2 linked regions of the Lytechinus pictus genome follow. The protein of the gene in region 1 binds, or shares a complex with, the protein of each later gene. Links are inferred from orthologs where the notes say so. Each region holds a gene or a part of one and is shown on either strand. Other genes may lie near its edges.

Region 1 (7,069 bases):
CTCGCGATCATCGTATGACTAGTGGTGCGGACAGGGCCGTAGCTAGAGGGGGGGGGGGGGTATGGGGGGTGTGACACCCCCCCCCCCCAACATTCATGGCAGTCGGCAAAATCATGTACCAGTTGGCAAAATGGAGGATAGGGGAGAAAAAGAAAGAGGGAAAGAAAGAAAGAGAAAAAAGAAAGAAGGAGAGAGGGGGAGAGAAAGAAAAAGAAAGAAAGAAAGAGAGAGAGAGAGAGAGAGAGAGAGGAGGAAAGAAAGAAAGAAATAAAGAAAAAAAAGGAAAGAAAAATAGGGGTACTAACTTCGAAGAAGGTTACGACGTTTAGAGTAAAGACAACCAGTTGGCAAATCCAAGTCCATGTAGTCAGGCTTAGAGCCCTATAGTCAGAAAAATACAAAGGACAAAACAGATGGAGCTATAATAACACACAAAGTAAGCCCCGGTCCTCCCCCAATATAAACAAGCTTGTGAGTTTGCAAATTATACCACAATTATTGACGATTTAACAAACACATTAGTTTTGTAAAATCAGAGGCAAGACTAGGTAAATAAATATGGGGTAGGATGAATTTCCAAGGTTTAAGTTGAATAATCAAAGCCAAAGTATAGTTGGCAAATTATAAAGTGGGCCTATTAAAGTGGCAGAACACTACACGCTCTACCAGTCAGCAAAGTGATGTACAAGTACTGCCCCGTTTCAGATCTGAAAAGAACAGAACACAAGACTTAAAAAACTGGTAACTCTTCAGTTGGCAAATTCATGAAGACAGGTCTACAACTTGTAGACTTGTCTACAAGTTTGCAGTTGGCAAAAACACAAAAATATTCTAAGTTATTTTTACTAAATTCTGTCGCCGAAGATTTTTTATTTATTTATGGTGTCAGAATGTGCTTGGGGTGGGGATGGGTGGGAGAGGGGGCAGGTTGGGGTTGCATCATTCCTGGTGCTCGCATTGTCTGACTAATGAGATATATAGTCCTGTTGTATTTTAAGTCCATGAAGATTATGCACCAAATTATCCCCTCGCACTTCAAGTTATTATTGTTTTATGTAGTGACATATGCTTTTTTCATGACTATATACTTAAAGTGATTGCCCCCTTTTAAGGCCTTAATAAAACATTTCCAGTCTCTGCTTACGTTCGCATTGGTGTGGACCGATATAGATACCGGGCTGGTGTTAAATCAACACCGGCGTTTTTGCAGTGCACGAATTCCTAAAGACAGTCCTTAAAATGTCCCTTTTTCTGATCTAATTACAACAAATTTTCAGCTCGCGCTTCGCGCTCGCACCCCTTAATTTGTGAAATAGTAAATTCCTACAAACAAGCCATAGAATGCCCCTCTTCAGGTCTAAATTTTAAACATTGTCAGCTCGCGCTTCTCGCCCGCAACATTTCATTATTTAGTGAAATACGTATCATGTTCATGATTACAATTATGACCACAAAAAGTGCTTCATGTACCAGAGTAATTTTAACAGAATCAGCAAGCGCTTGGCGCTCGCATTAGATGACTATGATGAGATACGTACGCACTTCATAAATTCCAAAAGATAGTCCTTAAAATGTCCCTTTTTAGGGTTAAGTTATACAAAAAAATTCAGCTCGCGCTTCGCGCTCGCATTGTTTGTTTTGTGAGACAGGTACGTATCATGATTACAAAACTTTGCTTATAATGTCCCTTTTTAGGACTGAATACATTTTCAGCTCGCGCTTCGCGCTCGCATTATTTGATCACTTAGATACATATCCGTTTAATGGCACAGTCCTTAAAATGTCTCTATTAGGTCAGTAAACATGGTAATTGAGCGCGCTTCGCGCGCCCACTTAATGACTCAAAAATTTTGCTGGTGCCCCCCCCCCCCCCCCATGCCGTGACCCAGGGTACGCCACTGTTAGCAGTAGCGCTCTTGAAATTTTAGTTGAGACATCTTGCACAGAAGGTCAATTAAAAATTAACAAATCTTTGATTTTGATATTATTAATGCATATAGGGTATATCATTATACTGCAAGTTAGCAACTACGGCACACTATAGCCTTTCTATTTTGATCCAAAATGTTTATTTTTATCTTTGTATAATTTACCTTAAAGTATTCACCAAATGCCACTAATTCAATTCTAAAAATTCAAAATCTTTTAGCATGTGATTATTGTAGGGGGGCACATCCCCCATCAGACTCCCCCTGTGCTCACGTTGGCGCTGTCACGCCAAATTTAGTTGGCAAATTTAGCTGGTACACCCCCCCCCAACAAAATGCTTCTGGCTACGGCCCTGGGTGCGGAATGTTCCATTGCGGCTTTAATTATGGGGGAAATAGCATCACGGAGGGATAAAATGTATACACAGATAATGTTTCAGCGTTGATTCGCAATATTTTGAGTCAATTTTAATGAATTATCGTTGTTTGAACATTTAAACATCATTATAAAATGAAAGAAATAAGCAAAACTTAATTTTCAGACTTAGCTATGCAGTGGTAAGCTAGGATGCACCCCTCGTATACATAATGGACCCGTCACGAGTGTAGGTTTGCTCTTCGGACATCACTATCACAAAGAAAATCTCCTCTGATTTGATGATAAAAGTGCCCTATTTCCTCATCTGATAGAAGAAGTTGTTACCATTCATTTCAGGGGGGCGGAAATTCTATCTGAATCAACGCTTGTCCTTGATACACATTTGTTTGTGAAAAAAGGGTATAATGCAAGGGAATTCTGCGTGTTATAAGGGTGCGCGCGTGCAGCGAGGACCTTCTGTCCGCTAGTTTTCCATATGTAATTGATTGCGCCCCCAAAATGTACATGCATCGGGTCGGGTCATGTCCGTGTTTTCCTGGTGTTCCGAGTCAATTTCTATTTTTAGCTTAGTTGTTTGCCCCGACTAGGCCGTCAGGCTATCCCTCGGGGCCCCAACCCCCCCCCCCCCCTAAAAAAATGAAATCAATAGAATTTAAAAAAAAATAAGCACATTAGATCTATGCCCTTTTAATGTTCTTGGGCGGTATTCTGAGGTAATTTTATCTTTAAAATATTTTATTTTATCTCTTAAAATGAAATTGGTATTCTGAGATGACATTTTATCTCTCAGATAAAATTTTGAATTTTATCTTGCATATAAATTTTATCTTGCGTATCTACAGATGATACGCAACAGAGGAGTGCCTGCGTAGACATACCCATCGCGTATCTGGCCATGCAACGCGGATGATGTGCTTGCGCCCATGTTACTTTGAAGAAAAAATAAAATAAACTTAAAAGAGGGTAGGGGCTGTTTTATCTCTGCGACGTTGCTTTTATCATTATTTCTTGGTGAATTAACTACAAATGTTGACATGAAAATTAAGAAAAATTATATATTTATTGAGAATAATACCTTAATGTTATTCCTGTACAATCAGGAAGTATTTCATAAAACTTTTCTTGACTAATATTGTCTTTGAAATGATGCTTGAAAAGATGTGATATAGACTTCGAAAAAAGATGAGAGTATTGTCATTTTTTTTAAAGAAATCTCTGTAAAGACGCGCAAGCGTATTTTGCAAGCGTATTTGAAGTCAATAAATTGACGCAATATCACTCCTTTGCCACACCTCCTGGCGGAATGGATTTTCATTGGTTGAGTGATATGAGAGAGCTATAAAAGCGCATTTTTAATTGGATATTGATTAAAAAATAGGTGTGTCTTACAGAGATAAAATGAAGATAAAATTGTTCTCAGAATACTAATTCGGAGAGATTTTAAGGGTATTTTATCTCACTGATTTTAACGGAGATAAAATATTTTATTTTATCTGAGATAAAATGGATCTCAGAATACCACCCCTTGTTTTTAAAGCTTTTTAGCCTTTATTCAGATCATAATATTACATACAGCAATATAACAAAGGAAAATAATAAACATCGTGATAAAAATTTTCAAACAAAAATTATCTTAACCCAAAGCAGTTAATTGAGCTGCACCCATAGAGATGTATACTACTACTAGTATACATCTCTATGGCTGCACCACAGCTGCTGGTGTTGCTGCCCTCTTCGTTCGTTACTCAGACAATTCACTGAGACCCCATGCGTTGATGTTGATGTTAGATACAACTTGCCGGGACAATTTGGTTAAGATCCACAGCAAATCTATCGTTTAAGCCCGGATTCTAAGAAAATAAATCAAATCAAGTTATAGACTCAAGTTGTAGGAGCAACTATGAAGATCGAGGAGGTAAAAAGTACAACGAAGACTCAAAGAATAGCGAGTCATACTCACGTGAAGGGCCTTGGACTTGATGACTCTGGAAATGCATCATCAAAAACAACTGCAGGTCTGATTGGTCAAGAAATGGCCAGAGAGGTTGGTAGATCGAAACATTAGATCGAAATAACGTTAGGCTAGCCAGGAGGCTCCTAGAGAGTAAAAATCATTTACTAATATATGCTTACCCTCCACGGAGCCAGGGATTCCTTCCCATTCATGTACGCGTGCCACCAAAAAACCAGAAACTTTCGCCCCAAGATTTCTACTTTCTAAATTTTCTAGCCATAAATCATGTATGTAGAGAGTACGGCCTACGGGATACAACTTCATTACCGACATTTCTACGCTATCGATTTCATTTTTAAACAAGAATTCATTAAGAAAACAAGAAAAGTATTGTGTAAAGACAGGGGAAACTTGCCGAGATGTTTACGCCGCCATCTTGTTTCTCGTTGTTTCTCTTCGCCAACGTTACCTTTAGGCCTATACCTTTATAGGCTAGGCCTATACCTTTATACCGCATCTACTGGAAAAATACAGTTGTTCCTGCAGCTGCAGTCAAGTTTCCAGGTCTATCTCGTTGTCTTCCTAGCTTGGATAAGTTCGAAAACTGAGTCTGTGCTATTTGTGCAATGTGCTGTGCCAATTAATGTATTGGAATGAAATAGGCACTATTCCCATGCGTGAACATAATGCCACGCAGACCAGAACTTGTCTAACTTTGTCTTGAAGCCATTGATTGTTGATGCTGTGATTACCTCAGTAGGCAAAGAGTTCCAGTCATTAACCACTCTAACACTGAAGGGGTTTTGTCTCACTGCCAGTCTACGCATGCATGCGTCTGTAACGTTGGCGAAGAACAATGCCAATGCATCCGTTACGTTGGCGAAGAACAATGTCTGAGAAACAAGATGGCGGCGTAATGCGTCCAAAATTTTGTCCGCTGACTTTAAAAATAAAAGTGGAATATTATAGGGAATAGGGGTCTAAAGACTAAGTAGTGCACTCACACTAACGTTAGTACAGTGCGAGGTCATATACTTATCTCGCACCAAGAACCGTGTTTGGCAGTGGATTTCTTACTGGCTGGTCACAACACACGACTTCTAAAGTTCTAGCCTTGATTTTTCTGTGAGTTGCGGCATGTAATGAACCCTTGAGTGGTCTAAGTGTTAACCACTTTTAAGTTACATGTAGTAACATCACATGTACATCTTTGGTTTTGCAAGATTAACTTAAATTTGTTGTCTTGATTTCAATTGCTCTTAGTAGATATGAAGGGTTTATTCATGTTTAGATGATACAAAGTTTATAAGTCTTTTTCTTTTGAGTCACATAAATAAAACTGTCAGTGTCACAAAAAAGAATCATCAATCATTTGTACATGTTTCAATGAAAGTGATTTGAAAAACAATAGTGATTTAAATCGCAATTTAAATCAACGTGATCTAAATCGGCCTACCCTGTAATAAGAAGCAAGACATAGTCCAGCGGGTCGTGTGGTCTAGTGGTTAGAGCATTGGACTCATAATCGCAAGGTTGTGACATGTGCACAACAACAAGGTTGTGAGTTTGAATCCTCACTCTGCTATTGTCTCCACTTTGATAAAAAGGCCCAAGAGTAATATCTGTCGTCTATAGGGTCAGCCACTATGACTGAATAACCTAGACGTAAAATGTTTCCTAGGTAATTGGTTATATACCAGCTTGGCGTTTACCAGCAAAAATTATGTTTGTACTAAAGTCTGTTTTACTTTTAATTTATCTTGCTCAATAACTTAAAGGAGAATGAAACCCTTGAAACCAGCTGAATCCATATCAAAGAGAAAAATGAAAGAAACATATTGTTGAAAGTTTGAGGAAGATTGAATGAATAATAAGAAAGTTATGAGCATTTGAATATTGAGATCACTAATGCCATGTAGACCCTCCCATTGGCAATGCGACCAAGATCTGTGATGTCACACACGTACAACTCCCTCATTACTTTCGTACTTATTTCACTTATATTCTCACTTTTATAGAGTCTATTAGAAGGTGAGGTGTTCTCTTTATGAGAGGACAAGTAAAGAGGTTTCACAACATTATATCATTGATGAATCGTTTGTCATATGATTAGAATGAGCAAAAAGAGATGTTTTGGGGTATATTTTCAGCGTCCAAAAGGGGAGAGTTGTTCATCTGTGACATCATAGATCTTGGTTGCATTGCCAATGGGAGGATCTCCATAGCATTAGTGACCTCGACATTCAAATGCTCATAACTCTTCTATTGCTAGTCCTATTTTACTCAAACTTTTGTTGATCTTATTCTTTGATTTTTCTGCTTTCACAAAAGCTAACTTGCTCCAAGAGTTTCATTCTCCTTTAAGTGATGGAATTGGCAAGTAAAGAGGAAAGAGGGCTTAGAAAATCAGAAATTTCCCTGGAACTATTTTAGTCACTCTATAAGAAAAGAATGGTTCACAAATTGACACACTCATCTGACACACTCATCTTAATAGACTGCATTCTAAGTCTCCACCTTTGCACAGGGTCTACATTTTGCATATTGATATTAACTTGTTTTTTTACAGGCTGCTGGTGTAGTTGTAGAGTTGATACGCTCCAAGAAGATGGCTGGCCGAGCCATCCTGCTAGCAGGGCCTCCTGGGACAGGAAAGACGGCTCTAGCCCTTGCCATCGCCCAGGAGCTTGGCAACAAGGTACCCTTCTGCCCCATGGTTGGAAGCGAGGTCTTCTCATCAGAGATTAAAAAGACAGAGGTGCTGATGGAGAACTTCAGAAGGGCAATAGGTAAATAGATAAATCCCAA
Region 2 (7,913 bases), about 46 Mb from region 1:
ATGGGAAGGGTTTCAAGGCTCCGTGATGAAAAAGTATATATGTAAAAATATTTAAAATATCATCACGGAGACCTCAAGGCTAGATTCAACCTTCTTCGGCATCATCAAGAGTAATCTACATCATGTATGTAGAACAACATAGAAGAAGAGGGAAACTACAATGTAGACTCAGATCTAGAGCCTAGATCTAGTCATCATGGTCATGCTAGTCTTGAGACTAAATGAGCGCATTAATAGCATGTGCATTTGCCGCACCGCAATACACCTTATCGCAAATAGCATTCGTCGCGTGAGGGCGTTTTTCACCGCAAAGGCTCACGGGAATAAAAAGGGAGCAAACGCGGAATCGGTTTTCGGGAAGCCATACAACGCCATGTTTTGTGTAGTGTCACTCAAAATCCAGGCTTTTTTAAGAGTCTGATTTTTTCATATTGAAATTATTTTGGATATTTGAATGTAGATTTATAGAACAATCTTTGCATCATGATTGCACAGTGAAAGTATGAACTCAATGCTCACCGTATTTTCCAAGATTTCTGGGGCTAAATTTGGGAAGATTTTGTGGGAAAAGTGAACATGGTGATTGCGGGCATGTGCCGATCGACTGTAGAAAAGAGCACGTCGGCGATCAGAAGAGAGCCTGAGGCTATTTTTCCATTAAAGAATATTGATGAGAATTATAATGTAGACCATGATATATATTTTATCTCCATAACTAGTGAATTTAGCTAGTTTTTGTTATTTTGGGGGGATATAGTCCTTTGCAAATGAGTTTTGGGGTTTGATCATTACAAGATCTAATGCCGGGATCTAATAGAGGGGGGGGGGGGTGAGACTAGAGGATCGAGCGGCCGGAGCTCTAGACCAAATATAAAGTATATTAAAATAAGCTAGTGTGTATATACATATCAATAAATACATATAAATAGGTCTATGACATGCAGAATAAAGATTAAATAAATCCCTGAAATAAAACATTTTATGATGCCATATACAGGGCAGTTTATAATCACTCGCGTCGCGTGCGGGTTCGTAATCACTCGCGTTATGAATTTTTTGCGATTTTTTTTTTCATTTCGGTGCGATTTTTTTTCTAACGGTGTCTTCAATGGGACAAACACGCTGGGAAAATAAAATGAAATTGAAATTCGAGTTTCGTTTTAAGCCGGCAAGTGCCTTAAATAAGATGTACTCGACTTCTGTTTTAACATAACAAACAAGCAAATCAGCCATGTGGCTCAACTAACTTAGAATAGATCCGGACTTCTACTGTGTCTTATACGAGGACTCCGAGTCGGAACTTGCCATATCTGCCACATCGATATTACATCGTATCATTCCCATATGCGGACATGCCTACATGCAATGGCCCCAAGGCGGCCGGACCCGGCCGCGGTCGGACACGACGTGCATCGGTAGCATGGAGCAAGCTAACGTGAGTCGAGCTGAGTTAGATCCCACGTTATATATGAGGCGCCGATTGTACCAATATTATATAGAACAATTATTTGTTATATAATCATTATTCATTAAATAATAACTATTATTTATATATAATTTACATTCTATTTGTAAATAATTACTATTATATAAAATAACATTTCTAATAATTTATATATAATTCCAAGTAATACTTCATTACTTGTAAATAATAATACCAACGCGACGCGAGTGATTACGAACGCGAGTGAATATAATAAGCCATATACAGGCACTATAGTATTCTCCATGGTCTCCCTCAGTCTAACCTCTCTGTAATTTCATTGTCTGAAAATTAAGCAGCTGATGGATATTTAATTCATATAAATTATATATATTCCATTACTTTAATATTATTTTAAAAATTTGCATTTTAAATTAATTTCATCACATTCAGTCACTAATTACTTCTCTCACAGATAATGTACCTTAATTTCATTATTTTTAAAACTTATTTTCTCTCATTATACTTTCATCTATTCTCATCCATTATTTTTTTTATATTTAATTAATTATTTTAATAAAACTTCAGAATGTCCGGCCATGATCCTGAATTACATGCAATTATGTATCTGTGGAGAGAAAAGAAAACACAGCTCGGTTAATATCTGAATAGAGTCATGATTGAGATAATTATTTATGAAACATGTATTCTTGACAATCGATTGATATATTACTAAAATATATAACTAGGATAAAGTAATCAAATCTACTGCAGAGTTTATTATTGATCATGCATCATTTTATTAATTCCTTGGGAATTCCGGGACCAGTTTCCTCCACTGCCTCGCCGACGTACTCTGTCCCTGGGCCGAGAGTGCCCACAGTCCGTGCAAACGGCATGCATACAAGCACACTTTGCACAGCCACAGCCTGGTCTCAGTTGTACAGCTCAGAATACGCACAGACAGTGCGCGAAGATGAAACAAAATTGCACTTGTTTTCATAAAATATGTGGTAATTCTTGCAACTATAGCTAGCACATCTATCTCTGCCACCCATATTTTTAATTAAGAAGAAAAGTGATGTTAGACTACGGAACAAATATGACGAGGCGTTTACTGGAAGTTAGCAAAATTTTGGCTGCGGGCGTCGCTCGAGTTTTGATACACTAAGCCTAATAAGCCTGGAAATCGTACACTTTATTGTCGGCTGCTTGCGTTCGCATGGTCGCATCCGGACAATAGGGGCGCTATTCAGTAGAGGCACACGGCCAATATTGGAGACTGTCTCCAATGTGGGAGATTATCTCCAATATCAGAGACTTTTGTAAAGAATTTGGGTATCCATTTTCAGTTTTGGAGACCAATTTCCTTTGTTTACATTTGCTGCAAAAGAATTACCTTGGCGGCAAATAAAAATGTGATAAGGAGATTCCTCATGAAAAATTAGCCCTTTCAGTCAGACGGCAGGTCCCAAGAAAGTGGCTTCTTTCATCCATGCATCTTGTTTCCTATTGTTCTTCGCCAACGTTACAGACGCGTGCGTCGGGTAACGTTGGGGAAGAACAATAGAAAACAAGATGGCGGCGTAAACATCGGGCAAGTCTCTTCCGTCTTTACACAATATTTCTCTCATTTTTTTTGATGAATTCTTGTTCAAAAATAACAACGAGAGCGTAGAAATGTCGGAAATGAAGTTTTATCCCATGACATGTAGGCCTAGCCTACATGATTTAGGGCTAGATCTTTTAGAAAGAAAGTAGAAATCTCGGGGGCGAAAGTTTCAGGTTTTTTGGTGGTACACACAAAAGTATATGACGGAAGCCCTGGCTTCATGAGAGTGACCTTACGTTAGTAAATGATTTTTACTCTCTAGAAGCCGCCTGGCTAGGCTACCCGTGGCCACTCTAGGCGACACCCCAATACTTACCCGTGCTAATAAACTGGGACTCCACTCAAGCGCATTTGGGCCGCCCTAGCTTAGAACTAAGCAATATTATCTAGAAATTGTTACATTGTAGTCATTAAATATGTTCTATTAAATAAATTGATAATGTTTAATCGGTACTCACCGGTTCTTTTGTTGCATTTTCAGACCATTTCTCACAATTCTTCGTAAATATTTGCGGCAAATTTTGTCGCCATAGACAGCTTAGCATCCATCTTTATTGATAAATGGAGCGCCCTTTACGATAGTTGTTAATGCCGCGGAGAAATCGTTAGGCATTTTGGCCTGTGTTCAAGGCGTTCTTTCTGTTTTATTTTTTATATTGAAGATTGTGCATTTGTTGAATAGATCGAGTGTATAAATACACTCTTCCAAAATAATTATGATTCCGACCTGGCGCTGTTTAACTTCAATCTCTTTCACCTAAATTAGCGATGAATGCTAGCATTATTATAAAATATATATTATTAACGTCTGACGAAAAGAATAACCAACCGATCAGCTGACGAGAACGCGAATCACGTGATCTTCATATCAGCTTCGATCGCGAGTCAGAAGAGAAGAGCAGCTGCCCAGAAAATCAGGAAAAAGCCGTGAAAATGTAAGTTCCCCTTCATTTCTTTCATTTTTTTGTTGTTGCTAACGATGCATTTACACTATAAAATTATAATTTAAATAAGAGAAAGGAATATAGCTTGTACTTGTGATATAATATATAAATATCCTGTTCTCAGAGATTTCTAACCAAAAATACTACTGATGTCGCCTATGAGGTCCATACATGTAATGTTGGACCTCATTGGTAGGATGGGGGATCGGGTGTCCGGACACTTTATATTGTTGAAGCCTTCTTTATTTGTCTTTGGATTACACTAAAAATATGAATTCAATAGTTGTAATCATCTTCCATTTTGTTCTCCATAATATTTCCTTACATTTTGTACGAAAAATTGATGAAACTTCGCTTGTAAATTTTTCCAAATGACTTTCTAAAATTGATCGTCCGGACACACAACCTGTCCGGACACACAACAACTGGGTATACTAGGAGTGCCCGTGGCGTGTGCGAGGGGAGCTTCTTGCAATAGAACTTACACGTTTTACAGTATATGGGACTGTACTAAGGAAATTAAAAAAAAGTAAAATATAAAATCTATGGACTTACCTATCACCAACTTTCTGCAAATCAACTTTTTTCTGACTGGCAAGCAATAAACTAACATAATGTCTTATAATACCAACGAAAAAGGTAATAAAAACTATGGGTAATACCACCCAAATTCTGATATTGGGATCCAAGAGTAATTCGGCCATCTCTATAGTCTATCATCAGCTCAATGAAAATTATTTTTATTTATGTTTTTAAACTCTGTTTTTTTTTTAATTCGTGCAGTTTTTATTTTGAAAATATTAAAAATTTATTTAATTTATATTTTTATACATGAATAAAATTAATAAGATTAAAAAAACTCAGAAATAATTAAATTATAAAGCACTTTTAAACAACATTTACAGTTTTAGTCTCAGTCCACAGACCCCAAACCGGTACATTAGATCTAAAATTAGTAACAGCAGACAGGGATGCACCTGGTCAGAGATGCCTGTATCAGGCCTGTGTGCTGTAGACCACTGACCACTGCCACTGGATCAGCATCAAACTCCTTCTTCAAGTTCAAAATGTCTGAAGATATACCAGAAAAGGTGATTGAATATGAAAGATTCGTCAATGAAGTGCTTAGGAAAGATTTAGAGTAAGTTGTTTAAGTTAACCTTTCATTTTTAAAAATTTTATCATGATTGAAAATGAAATGAAATAACGTTAACAAGTTACAAAAAATACAAGTTAGTTAGGCCCTAGACCATGTAGACTTTTTAACTTCAAAATTCACACAAAATAATAAAAAGGAATTAAATAAAATTAAAATGAGACACGATCAGTCTATAAGTATAATGGGGTGACCATTATAATTTGCACACATTTTAAAAATCATCATGAAGTTGATTTTCAATCAAAAATTTCTAACACTAACAGCTCACACAAAATTAATCAAAATCATGATCATGAATACCAAACGGAAGGCAAGATCAGTCAAATTCGCTTGACGGAATTATAAAGTAGGTCAACATTACGTCAGACCACCGTTTGGAGAAAGACCGCAGTTCAGATTGCAAACTGCGGTACTATACCCCATTTTGCATTCGTAAATCCCAAAATCATTTCCAAGCCCAGGGGGCTGTTTCATAAAGCTGTTCGTAAGTTAAGAGCGACTTTAAGAACGACTGGTGATCCTTTCTCGCGCGCTAAATCATCGCCAATGGTGTGTACCATTTACGGCAAGACAGGATCACCAGTCGCTCTTTATTTACGAACAGCTTTATGAAACACCCGCCTGATCAACCCCGCTAGGCCAGGTAATCCCCGCTGTCTCAATTTTACCTCCACAGGCCAGATTATGAGCGTTGAGCCATGGAGCTATTGGTTGAGCCAAGGACGAAATGATAAACAACAGCTGTGCTATTACGCAAGACTTCTCTGCCTGTCGTAGGACCTTCGGAATGAAATTATTGTATTCGATATTTAATCACGTTTTCAAAGGCATATTGTATTTAGAAATCCAATGTTAGCCCATTTTCAATTTCGAACAAAGAAAATCGACCTCGAAATAAGGAAAGAAAGTGAATTAAAATGACGGCATGCTTTGCAGGGCTGTTGTGTTATCTTCGGACCGAGGTCAAGAAACGGGTGTTTTGATACTTAAATTGCTTGCTTGGGGCAGTTATGGTTTGTCGTACTTGGATAAGAGAATTGATTGAGGGAAACTGGGGTATAGTGTTCTCAAATGGAGGTTTTTCGTCATGAAGGGTTTCGCTCGTATCGCGGTCTCAAAGTTCCATGGCGATCGACTAGTGCGCGCTCTGCTGAAAAAAGTGTCATAAAAAAAGTGTGACCTTAATTTGCGCACGATCGTTTTACGAGGCGTTAGAAAAGAAATCAAGCAGACAAAGGTAACATAATAAAATTGTATCAGATGGAGCTGGAGGTTAAAATGCCATAATTTTGGTTGGTATCACATTTTACTTACTTATTTGGAGACTTCCGCTTGCAAACTGGTGAATTCTTGATGCTTGTCGAGAAGGTCAGATTTTCTCAGAGCAGACGCAAAAGGTAACAATATTTGCCGATGTTTTACCAATATTTTCATTAATAGACCTTACCTTCAAGAAAATTACTATATTGGGTAATTTTAAGTCGCTCTTTCTGTTGGTGATATCAGTTTTTTGTCTCACCTGCATAGCAGAGTGAGACTATAGGCGCCGCTTTTCCGACGGTGACGGCGACGGCGGCGGCGTCAACACCAAATCTTAACCTGAGGTTAAGTTTTTGAAATGACAGCATAACTTAGAAAGTATATGGACCTAGTTCATGAAACTTGGCCATAAGGTTAATCAAGTATTACTGAACATCCTGCCTGAGTTTCATGTCACATGACCAAGGTCAAAGGTCATTTAGGGTCAATGAACTTAGACCATGTTGGGGGAATCAACATCAAAATCTTAACCTAAGGTTAAGTTTTTGAAATGTCATCATAACTTAGAAAATATATGGACCTAGTTCATGAAACTTATACATAAGGTTAATCAAGTATCACTGAACATCCTGCATGAGTTTCACATCACATGACCAAGGTCAAAGGTCATTTAGGGTCAATGAACTTTGGCCGAATTGGGGGTATCTGTTGAATTACCATCATAACTTTGAAAGTTTATGGATCTGATTCATGAAACTTGGACATAATAGTAATCAAGTATTACTGAACATCCTGTGCAAGTTTCAGGTCACATGATCAAGGTCAAAGGTCATTTAGGGTCAATGAACTTTGGCCAAATTGGGGTATTTGTTGAATTACAGCCATAAATTTGAAAGTGTGTTGGTCTAGTTCATAAAACTTGGACATAATAGTAATCAAGTATCACTGAACATCCTGTGCGAGTTTCAGGTCACATGATCAAGGTCAAAGGTCATGTAAGGTCAAAGAACTTTGGCCACGTTGGGGGTATTTGTTGAATTGCCATCATATCTCTATAAGTGTATTGGTCTAGTTCATAAAACGTGGAAACATGACGAAAACCTTTCATTTGAAAACACTATACCCCAGTTTCCCTCAATCAATTCTCTTCTCCAAGTACGACAAACCATAACTGCCCCAAGCAAGCACTTTAAGTATCAAAACACCTGTTTCTTGACCTCGGTCCGAAGATAACGCAACAGCCCGAGCAAAGCATGCCGTCATTTTAATTCACTTACTTTCCTTATTTCGAGGTCGATTTTCTTCGTTCGAACTTGAAAATGGACTAACATTGGATTTCTGAATACAATATGCATTTGAAAACGTGATTAAATATCGAATACAATAATTTCATTCCGAAGGTCCTACTACAGGCAGAGAAGTCTTACGTAATAGCACAGCTGTTGTTTATCATTTCGTCCTTGGCTCAACGCTCATAATCTAGCCTGTGGAGGTAAAATTGAGACAGCGGGGATT

The links.
Region 2: ruvB-like 1 (region 1) and protein UXT homolog share a complex: the UniProt entries of both Homo sapiens proteins name them as parts of the PAQosome complex. The link is inferred for Lytechinus pictus from reciprocal best matches to the Homo sapiens genes RUVBL1 and UXT.

What each region holds. Positions count from the first base shown.
Region 1 is NC_087247.1:4,839,070-4,846,138, reverse strand, and holds the start of ruvB-like 1, read left to right. Parts: upstream 1-4,047; 5' UTR 4,048-4,207; coding exon 4,208-4,351; intron 4,352-6,830; coding exon 6,831-7,050; intron 7,051-7,069. UniProt on the Homo sapiens protein: Possesses single-stranded DNA-stimulated ATPase and ATP-dependent DNA helicase (3' to 5') activity; hexamerization is thought to be critical for ATP hydrolysis and adjacent subunits in the ring-like structure contribute to the ATPase activity.
Region 2 is NC_087247.1:51,229,322-51,237,234, reverse strand, and holds the start of protein UXT homolog, read left to right. Parts: upstream 1-4,892; 5' UTR 4,893-4,950; coding exon 4,951-5,120; intron 5,121-7,913. UniProt on the Homo sapiens protein: Involved in gene transcription regulation. Acts in concert with the corepressor URI1 to regulate androgen receptor AR-mediated transcription. Together with URI1, associates with chromatin to the NKX3-1 promoter region.